Schizosaccharomyces pombe: one gene and its partner. The gene in region 2 interacts genetically with the main gene of each other region. Each region holds a gene or a part of one and is shown on either strand. Other genes may lie near its edges.

The links. Genes that interact genetically often act in the same process or in processes that back each other up.
Region 1: mutations in SPOM_SPBC713.07C (region 2) and crr1 together harm fitness more than expected from each alone (negative genetic interaction), as found in Schizosaccharomyces pombe (one large-scale study listed by BioGRID).

What each region holds. Positions count from the first base shown.
Region 1 is NC_003423.3:1,656,055-1,660,763, reverse strand, and holds crr1 (glycosyl hydrolase family Crr1), read left to right. Parts: upstream 1-1,687; 5' UTR 1,688-2,318; coding exon 2,319-3,578; 3' UTR 3,579-3,707; downstream 3,708-4,709. Other genes in the region: SPOM_SPBC21B10.08C (uncharacterized protein), read right to left, coding at 3,987-4,514.
Region 2 is NC_003423.3:877,601-884,382, reverse strand, and holds SPOM_SPBC713.07C (polyphosphatase), read left to right. Parts: upstream 1-2,294; 5' UTR 2,295-2,730; coding exon 2,731-4,464; 3' UTR 4,465-4,554; downstream 4,555-6,782. Other genes in the region: MIM complex subunit Mim1, read right to left, coding at 1,708-1,923; adl1 (DNA ligase), read right to left, coding at 4,555-6,782. UniProt on the Schizosaccharomyces pombe protein: Catalyzes the hydrolysis of inorganic polyphosphate (polyP) chains of many hundreds of phosphate residues into shorter lengths.

The sequences.
Region 1 (4,709 bases), 780 kb from region 2:
AGCAACTTAATTGTAGTTTAAAATCATATAGAAATACTTAAAATCAATGAGGGTTTGCACTTCAGGATAATGGTAAATGAAAATCACACTTCACGAAAATAAAACGCGTAAACCGTTAATCTTCAAAACTAAATAATACCGCTCAAATTACGCTGTTTTTCCGCTAATGTTCATAAGGGAAATGTTTGAATTCCGTAAAACTGTTAAGGATGCGCAGGGTGATGGTAAAAGATTTGATAGTATATGTTTATTTTGCAGAAATATTCGCCTTGACTATATACAAAGTACTTTTATAAACTAAATAGTGTTAGAAAAGTATAAAGAGAAGCTTCGATAGAAAATTATTTCAAGGTTAAAATGAATAACTCGTTGCATCAAATTAGTTTGAGGTGAAAGGAAGGATATGATTCGTAGAACTGCTAATTCTTCCTGAGAATGGTAAATGAACGGAAAGCGATTTTTGCAGTTTGAACACGATTTGATACATGAGAGCAATACAGTAATATTGTATATACAGATGGAGATAAGATTTGGTTGCGATTTAAATGGCAATGAAATAAAGATCTAATAAGATAACCATTAGTAAATTCTTAGCGAACCATGCTTTCCCACCTGCTAGTAGAAGATGTTTGCAATTCAGTAAACAAAGGTTATGAAAGTCACCAGTATAGCTAAATTAACAAAGTTAGCTGATCAATAATATTGAAATCTCATTAAATTACGATGATAATCTGTCTCTTCAATGAAATAAAAACTTAACACTGTGTAGATATTACGACGGCATGCAAAGAAACTGGAAACAGAGACAAGATATAGAGTTTACTAAAGTATTCAACCTATTCAGCGAATTTTAACAAATTCTTTTTCAATTTAGTGAGTTTACTTTTCAACAATTTTACAATTCATCAGTGAACTCTATACTTTTAAATCATTTGCAGTGAATGAAAATAGATCATGGATAATACTCGTACTTCGTTTTGTCTCATGATAATTTAAATACAAAAAGTTGACTTACAGTAGATAAACGTTAATCTACATAATAAATCATTGATGCAGGTTCAAATACTTCTTTCCCCTTCCAATGAATGAAGAAATCCTTTTGTGCTTTAGCCGCACTCAAGTGAAAAAACTCAGGGAAAAGAAAATAAAACGAAGAAAATGGTGATCTTCTTGTTGACGATTTCCTTGGCAAATTAATAAAACTATGCAAAGCGATTTATTAGTTACATGTATACACTAAGGCCATTGCACTATTGGACACGAGGGATCAACATGCCTTGCCTTTTTGGCAATACAATCACATTGCACTCTTTATGAATGTCGTCTACACAATATAAACATATTAACGATTTGCATTGAAATGTCATGTTATGATCAAATTATAATCTTATGCATGCCGCTTCAGATAATGGCTGGTAAAAATTATTATAAAGAGTTATTTGTTTAATAAATAACAATGCAAGAATTAATTACAACACACTGAGACAAGAATTCTCTGTTTATTTTTATAAATTTTTTTATCTATAAAAGAAGTATAATCGCTTTTAAACTCTTGCTTAATGCTGCCGGTTTGATCGGTATTATAACTAATTGACCGAGAACATATGACGAATAGTGAGAATTACTGTAGCGTAACATTTACTAGCAGTAAGCTTCCTTCATAGAATTTTTCAAAAGCACAATCGTGGATTCTCCCACTTACGTGAACGGATTTTGTCTTTTAGTATAAGCCACAATTTCTGGTATCCGCATTCGCAGCCATCATTTCTCAGACATATATTTGCTTTAAGAAGACCCAGTATTTGGCTGCATTAGTATATAATCGCATTTACATGTAAAATCTTGCCTAGTCAGTAAGATTACAGAATCGTTCTTTTAGAGAGGCTGATTTCATAAGTCTGTGTATGTGCGTGTCTATATACTGAAATATATAAATACACTTATAATTAAAGCTGGTTGGCTTTTTATCCTTTCTTTGTATATCACTGCATATTTTTTGTCCATATTATAAACTCCCTATCTATCGTCTTTCGATAATAATTATTTTCATTTTAAACCGCATTTCTCATCTCTACAAAGCATTATCCCATATTTCCCTTTTTTATTCCCCTTTAACAAGATATCCTTGAGTTTGGTTATTTTTACTAGCATTTTATTTCCATTTCTGAACTTGGTGCATAGCTCACCAGATTGGCATTTTTTTATTTGATCGTGTCTCATTACTTCCCGCTCTTTTTATTCTTATCTTTTCTTTCTTTTTGATTTTTCTCGCCCTTCTTTAATTTGTTGAAATTTGATTAACTTTTATTACTTTTGCAATGGGTATTCCTGATTCCACTACAGATTCACGCCATAGTCTCTCATCTGCTGCGTTGTCCTCTGCTAGCTTTGAGAATATTTACGACCCGGCACGCAAGAACGAGTCAACTAATGATGTTATCGACAATCATACAGACACTGAAATTGATGATCACGATAATGACCATGAAAACCTTGATAGCAATAATAATAACGAAAACAATGAAGCCTTTAACGAAAAGGCTGCAGAGAAAAAGTTATTGCCTTGGTACCGACGTTACTTTATTTGGATATTAATTTTTATAGTCGCTTTAATTTGTAGTGTTCTCATTGGTGTCTTGGGTGGTGTCTTGGGACATCGTACCGCTGTACGAGATCGCCATCCTTCTTACAAAGCTAAAACATATAGCCTTGTTAAAGAATATAAAGGCACCACATTCTTCGACGGCTTTGATTTTATGAACATTACTGATCCCACCCATGGCTTCGTACAATACCTTGACCGTAACAGCAGTGCTAAGCTTGGTCTAATTAGCGCGAATAGTTCCAACGTCATTATGGCCGCCGATAGTAAGCACAATTATAGCAGTGGTCGCCCTTCTATTCGTCTTCAGAGTACCCAGTACTTTGAACATGGACTCTTTATTTTGGATCTTATACACTTGCCTTATGGTTGCGGCACATGGCCCGCATTTTGGACTCTTGGTGATGACTGGCCCAATGGTGGTGAAATTGATATCGTTGAAGGTGTCAACGTGGGTACTAGTAATCAAGTCACTTTGCATACAGGTGACGGTTGTGAAATGGAAGATATCAAGCGAGTTATGACTGGTACTGCATTACAAACTAATTGTTGGGTTGATGCTCCAAACTCGTATAATGCTGGCTGTGGTGTTGAAAATCCTAGTGGTCCTTCTTATGGTGAAGCTTTCAACAAAAATGGAGGCGGTGTATTTGTTCTTGATTGGCGTAGTGAAGGTATTCGATCGTGGTTTTTTAATCGTTCTGAAATTCCATCTGACATTACTTCTGGTTCTCCCCAACCTGCTAAATGGAGTGAACCCGTAGCTGACTTTCCAGATACCAAATGCGATATCGACAAAATGTTTTCAAAGCAAAAAATATTATTTGATTTGACATTTTGTGGTGATTGGGCAGGTTCTTCAGTTTATTCATCAGCAGGATGCCCCGGTTCGTGCAACGACTTTGTTGGTAATAATCCTCATAATTTTACTGAAGCATACTGGAATATCAAAAGCTTGGCCGTTTATCAATACTAAACCCCCTTCTTTTTTCTTTTTGATGAATTTTCTTGATTATATAGGCATAACATTAACATTGCATGCGTGATATCATCTCGATATATTGTGTGTAAATAAAATACATTTTGATTAGAACTTGAAGTAGAGAAACATTTTTTCGCATGTGTTTAGCAAAATGCGTAAAATAGTAATAAGCCTAAGTTTTGTCTGAAATTATGCGAGCTTGAATTTTTTAATAACTTGTGTTCTAATGCCATCGTTTACAAAGTAAATTTCGGTCTTAAAATTTCAATAAATTCACTACGCTAATTGATTAATAATATAGGGTTTAGGAATATTCATATAAGGTACTCTTCAGAAATATCAAAAGGTTTGGGATTCGTATATGTTGTAAAAACGTTTGTTCATTTCTGTTGCAAAATACATCTAAGGGCGGTTTAAGAAACCAACGCCAGAATAAATCACTTGCTGAGAAACAGAAGTAGCACCAGAAATTTCAGCAGGACCAGGCTCAATACCACTCTTGGAGTATCTGGTAACGACAGCATATAGGCTAGGATCATCCAAGGAATGAATAATCAAACTTGTGTCAGCTTTAGGATTAACGGTGAGCTGTTGCTTAAGAGTAGCAGAATCGCCAGTATATTCGGTATACAAAACATAGTCCTTGGCATCTGGGCCTAAGTTGTCCTTATCTAAATGACCATCAACAACCTTAAAATTCAATAGTTGCAAAGGCTCTGCCAAAGGAGCATGAGTAGAGGTCAAATAATTGGCAAAAGCAAGGAAGGGATTTGAGGTTTTGTGAGAATTCTCTAATACCTCCTTTGAATCATACAGCTCAAGACCAAAGATATAATCAGGGTTTTTAGCATCACGAGCGAAATAATAGGTTTTAGTGAAGGGTTCTGATTTCAATACATGCTCATTAACTTTACTCAAAAGGTCAAGGATCTGTACATATAGTTAGTAAAGGATTCAAGAAAAGGATAAATTCCTGAACAAAAGCAAACAACAATTACAGTAATGAGAGTAGATTTCTATTACAGCACAGAAGATTTAAACTGACATGTCGTGGCATCTCATTTATTTCCAACTTTACAATGCAGTTGAGATAGACATTTCTCAATTCACCACGCTTATTCTATA
Region 2 (6,782 bases):
GTAACAGTATTTTTTTGCTATATAAAGTGGTATTATGGTCACTTTACATTACCGTACTCGCTCAAGACAGTGCGAATAGGAAGGTTTTTTACCCGCATGGTATTTTGCTATGCATTCGTATTTGCTATTCACTGAGCGTATATAAATGAATGGATCTTTTAAGAGCTTGCTAACAAGATAACCTACTTGTACGCGAGTGTCAGAAGGTCCACATATTTGCTATAGATTAAAATTTATTATTACATTTAAAACAGATTCGTTAACAAAGAACCTTTTGAAATTACTTGAGTTAATGGTTTATTCTTTTCGCGAAATTCTATATCGCTGTAATTTGTGTGATCGTAGACTTCCTATTTGTGTTGGATGCGTACTAAAGTTTGCTTGGAATCCTGTTAATACATGTTTTTAAAAACCACTGAAAGTGTATAGCAATGCTTGTAGAGCGTATATCCAAGATTTAAATAATATGCTATGTAATTCTGTGCGATGGGTAATATAGTTAATTATTTAAATAGCTATAAAATATAGAACGACTACTGTTTAGGTTTGTCCATGCTACATCTTGGAAGAAAATAGAAATATAGTATTCTTGTTGGCTAATGCAATAAATCTTCAAGTTTATATAGCAAATTGTGAAGTCAGTATTCGTAAATTTGACAAAAATTTAATGATAATTTATTTTTTCAGATTTGCTGACTTTAAGTAGTCGGTATCTGCTTTTTATGCATAAACAAGAAGATTCAGTTCGAGGATCAGAATCCTTTTTTGTATCATCAAACTTGAAATTGTCTTATAACATCATTAAAGCCAACCGAGTGTACCAAGCATGCGATAATGTAAGTTTTAAGAATCATTCAAAAGTATATTTTTCAAAGCTTGAGCAACGACAGAAATAACCTGTAAAATTCTAATGAATCAATGGGCTGTGCAATCAATTTATAATCAGTTGAGATTTGTTGCTCTGAGAATAGTAATACTTACACGCCTTTACAAATAAGCGTGTTTTAGTCATTAAGTTAGAGCACTATCGTTGTTCGAATACAATAACAATTATTTAAAAAAGCGATGTGATGAGGAAAACAACAAAAAGCGTAGTACTGTCATTCAAATCAAAGTAATGTAAAAATAATGAACAATTTTAAACAATGATGATAGCTTCGATACTTGTCTCACAGCTCATATAAATCTTCGTTGACACCTTTTTCTATACTATGCTACTCAAATCAATTTGTCGGTCCGAAGAAGCGATGTATAACGTGTCACATAATGTTAATATAAAGGGCATAAATAAAATCAAAAGTAATTATACTTAAAAAACAGAAGAAGGAAGCTCAAGGAAAACGATCATAAATAAATTAAATGCAAAGGAAATTAAATGTTATTTTGCAAATATAAACACAATTCATTTGGGCTTAATTCGTTTTCCATCCCTTGAGCATATATATTCTTTGCATTGTGCCAAAGAAGCTCTTAATATTGTGGGAAAAGAAAATAAAAACAATAAAACTAAAGAAAACGATCATTAAAGAGAGTGCAAAGCTGAAACCATAATACATCTGAGAGAAACATGAGTTAAGCATTCGAGTATCTCAAATTTTATGAATACTCGCCTCAGCTTAAAATGAAAAAATAAAAAAATCACGAATAAGCAAACACCATTTCCCTCAAATATTAAAGATAAATTTCCTCGCACAGCTATGCTTCATTTTAGGCTTGAATATACTGATGTCTTTGAATAGAATAAATCCTAGTATGACCTGGAGCCCAACCAAGAGAGTGGATAAATGCATGAGCAAAGATCTCCCCGAATCCCAACATAACTCCATTCAAGAAAGGAAGGCCCAAATTAATTGCCGCATACTTGAAAATATGAATAACTTGTGAAAACAAGGTTTTTGGAACTGTAACTGTATTTTTCTCCATCCTGCTTGTCCAACAAATACTATAACGAAACGAACCAACCGGTAATCAACACAATTTTCAAATAACTCCTTTAGAGAAGTTTTTATATCAACTTTCAAAGCAATTGCACGAATAATATTTTTGGCGTAAATTCTATTATTAAGAATCAACTGAGTTGATGGGGCAAGTATATGTGGAAGGATACTTTATTCCCAATCAAAATTACGAGTGTCCCGTTCTTAGATGCTGTCAACGCTTTAAGGCGTCAGGACAATGGTTAATGAGCAAAACACTTTCCTCCTTATTCATTTAACGAAATTAAGTTAGTAACTAATACCGTAATGCAAGCTCTGACAAAATATAAAATGCGACATCTTTCATCATACATATATAGCGGTGAACACAACATTCGTCTTCACTAGGGAAGAGTATCACGGATCTTTTAACTGCTTCCATTACGAGCATCGAATAGTCCAAACCCAAATTAAGTGTTCTCTGGGGTTTGCAAAGCTCAGAAGCAACTTCTATTGACTCTGCAGGACTTCGGTTCATGACTACCCGCTCGTGATCTTAATTTAGATCGATCTTTTTGTCAAACAGATTAACAATACTTATTTCATTAACGGCTACTGGGAAATTTTGATTTATTTAAGTTGTACTGAGTTCAAAAGCCCTTGAATCTTTCAAACACCATTTTTTGTTTTTGAAATTGCCTGGGAAATTGTATTACAGATTTTGGAAAATTTCGTCCTAGTCTGAAGTGTCCTCTTTTTTTCTACTTAGGTAAAGTTTTTTTTTCTTTTATATACCGATTTCCTTCTTTTTAGAATGCGTCCCTCTGTAATCACGGTTGCTGTTCTTTTTGTACAGTCGACATGGGCTTCTTTTGCATTTGGCAACCCTATGAGTATGCGAAATAAAGCGCATACAAATGATTTAGTTAATAGCAAAGGAAAACCACTTGTTGGTAGATTTTTGCATATCACCGATATGCATCCTGACATTTATTACGAAAAAGGATCCACCGTCGATCATTATTGTCATTCCTATGATCATAATTCTGACGATACTCCCTTGGGTAAAAGCAAAGTGGGTTACCTCTCTCCTGGTCCTGGTTATGAATGTGATTCTTCACCAGCATTAATTGATAAGACATTGGAATGGCTTAAGGAACATCAAGATGATGTTCTGGGAGGCATTGACTTCATACTGTGGACTGGTGATAATTCTAGGCATGACAATGATAACCATTTTCCAAGAACACAAAGTGAAATTCTTGCTTCAAATGAGGACTTGGTTAATAAAATGATAGAGGCGTTTCCTGACGTTCCAATTGTTTCCGCTATCGGGAATAATGATATATATCCTCATAACATTATGGAAGCTGGTCCATCTTCAATGACTCGACAACTAGCTGGTGCTTGGGATGCTTTAATTCCTTATGAGGAACGACACACTTTTGAAAAGGGCTCTTATTACCTATGTGATGTGATTCCGGACAAGCTAGCAGCAATTTCCATTAACACTCTTTACCTATCAAACAAAAATGCCGCGGTCGATGGTTGTCCTGATGATAATCTAGACGAACCTGGTTCTCTTTTTATGCGATGGTTCAAAATACAGCTTGAAGCGTATCGGCTAAAGGGAATGAAAGTTTGGCTTCTAGGACATATTCCCCCTACAAGGGGCCAGTGGTATGAAGATTGTTATACTTCTTTTACGGATTTGCTTTATGAGTTTCGAGATATTATAGTTGGACAACTCTATGGTCATATGAACATAAACCATTTTGTGTTTTTGGAATTCGATAAGTTACCTGTTGATACAGAATCTTATGGAATCAAAAGTGCGCAACCAAAATATGTAAAATCTTTAATTGATGCCCAATACGCGGAGCTTCCTACATTTCCCGAGAATTTAACAGAGGAGTTTCTTAATGGAACCGTCGGGAATTACTCCTTGGCTACCGTTGGTGGTTCGATTATACCTGAAATGTTTCCAACTTTTCGCGTTTACGAGTACAATATTTCTGATATTGCTAATCAGCTGGATGATCGGGAAGAGCTAACTGAAATCACTTCTTTTAACTGGGAAACGCTTGAAGAGCAGTCTCAATCAGATTATGAGATAGACAAGAAAAAGAAGAAAAAAAAGAAGAATAATAAAAAAAAGAAGAAGAACAAGAGGAAGAATATTAAGCCCGGTCCTTTGGGACCGGCATACGTTCCGTCACTTTTTACTCCTATTTCATTTAAGCAGTATTTCTTAAACACGTCAAATTACATGGATGCAACGAAAGATACCGAAATTTCTTATGAATTGCTATATACTTCGAAGGACTCTCCATATAATATGCCTGATTTAACTGTGCCAGAGTATATGCGTCTAGCAAAAAGAATAGCAACTTGTGACAAACCAGAAGATCCTCATCAATTCAAATTACAGAGTGGCGATCAAAACACTTTTAGAATTTCTAAAAAGAAGAAGCCATCTATTTGTCCGATAGCCTATACATATCTTTGGCATGCGTATATTGGTTCAATATCGGATTTTGAGGACTGATGATTGATATATTTGTTGCCATACCTTTAATAATATTTATTTAATATACAATCAACGATGTTCCTTGACATTTTGAGTTCATCACGAACATCAAGTATTAAGTTGTTTCATATACATGTCAGCCAATATTGAATTCGTGGATGCGTCCTCTGGTCCTTTGTCTGACCGAACTCTAATGAAGCGTGGGAATCGAATTGATAAACCGCGATCATCCTGAATTAATCCCAAAGCCGCCTTGTATGCAGGTGAGGATGTTATTTGAGCACCCTTAATTTCCCAAACTTCTTGAGGGGCAAAGTATATTTGTGGAGTTACCTTACCTGTTTCGCAAAAATTATATATGGGTTTAAGACTGCTATTGCCAGATTCTAAGGAATACTTTTGTGTTAATTCCTTATAAAATTGGTCACTAAAACCGGACATGCATTTACAGACTGCTTCATACGCGCCAGTGTCTGGATTGTAAACAGCAAGCAAAATTGGACTGAACCATCCGGCTTTTCTTCCATTACCGTACCAAGCGCCTATGGGAACAAGATCCAATGACTCAAATTCATCATCATAATCCTGTTTGACTTTAATCCATCCCTCACCTCTTTTATCAGGTTCATACGTTGAAGGAAACTTTGAGTTTGTTCCATTCAGTACCTTCACCATTAATCCTTCGCATTTATTAGTAATTGCAAGACTAAAAAATTCTTGAATGGATTGCTCCTCATTTGTTTCCAAAGAAGACACGAACTGAAAGCGATTTGGAATTAAATTAAAATGCTCAAAAAACATTCTTCTTCTTTCAATTAAAGGCATTTGTAAGCAAGATTTCCCATCACAAAACATAATATCAAAAACAAAAACACACACGTCTATTGTAATATCAGCCACTGTAACTTTTTTTCTTTCTCTAGTTGAAAGTTTTTGAAAATCCAGTATCTGACCATTACTTTTGTCAATAGCCACCAATTCGCCTTCTATAATAAAATCACATGAATGTTTCAATGCTAATTGAGCAACTTCAATGACATCCGGAAATCTTCCTGTAATTTCCTCCAAATGGCGGCTAAATATCTTAATGTTTCCAAGTCTATCGCAATGAATTTGTGCTCTTTGTCCATCGTACTTGAACTCACAAGAGAAGTTATGATCAGTCAATCTTTCTAACATATGCTGCAAATTCTTTGTGATAGAACCAAGCATAGGTTTTACTGGGATTCCAGGGCGAATAGACATATTGTCTTTTAAGTTTTCTATCCCCTCTCGAAGAAGGGTTGCAACCAAAATGTTATAATCAGGGACCTGAAAGAAACTTTGTTTAACAATCTCTTCTCCTTGACGAAATTGTTGTTGAAGTGAGTCAGAATTAAAATTAAATATTTCGTTTTGATTGTCAAAAATAAAAAAAGCTTTGCTTAGTGAAGCTAACATGGTGTTTTGAACAGCCCCTATTCTTAGATTTTGCATTATACTCCTCCCTATATATCGAACCTCCTCAGCATTAGAACTTATCAATAAAAATTTAGTTAACTCTAATTTACGGTTCTGGGCACCATTACCGTTACTGTCAGCAATCTTTAGTAAAGTAGAATAAACCTTCTTAATAGTCAAAGGTTCTGGTCTGCTTAACGTGCGCACAGACACTTTAGCTTCGAACGCTACATCTCCTGGATCGCCATATTTGTTCCATAAATTTTTCAAAGCACTTGCTGTAATGCCACAAACTTCTTTCAAAGCTTTAGAGTACATTGCAGGTCCGACACCAAGGTTTTTTCCATAAAAGTTGGGGGCAATAGAATTGGTACATAACCAAACTGTTGCAATTAAGGAATCAGGATCTGCATACAGAAGTGTGAGAAGGAAATTGGTTAATAATGTGACAATGCGTATCCTGGATTTGGTAGAACTAATTAAGGAAAAGGTGTTAGCAAGTGATGAGTAACTGAAGCTTTTTGTATCTTTTGAAACAAATCGGGCTCGACAACTTTTCACGTAAGTCAAAGGATCTTTCTGTAAAGCATCGTAATCAATTGTGGAATCTTTGTTCACGCTATCAGTTGAGAAAAAAGAAGCTTTGCATTCTTCGCTTGTAACTAAATTCTCCTTAGGTTTATCATTGCTTTCTTTTACAACATTAAATGTGTCAGTATGATACTCTTCTTCAGGTATAATTACATCTTTAGGAAGCTTTTCCGGAGCAGTAGCTTGGTTCTCAGAATCAAAAAGCTGTTGAAGCTTTAATGCATAAGCATAATCGCTGGCGCTTTGATCGTGATCGGTGAGCAATTTGTTTGGTGTATCTGTAAGCTGTGCTTCTCGTTTTGAAA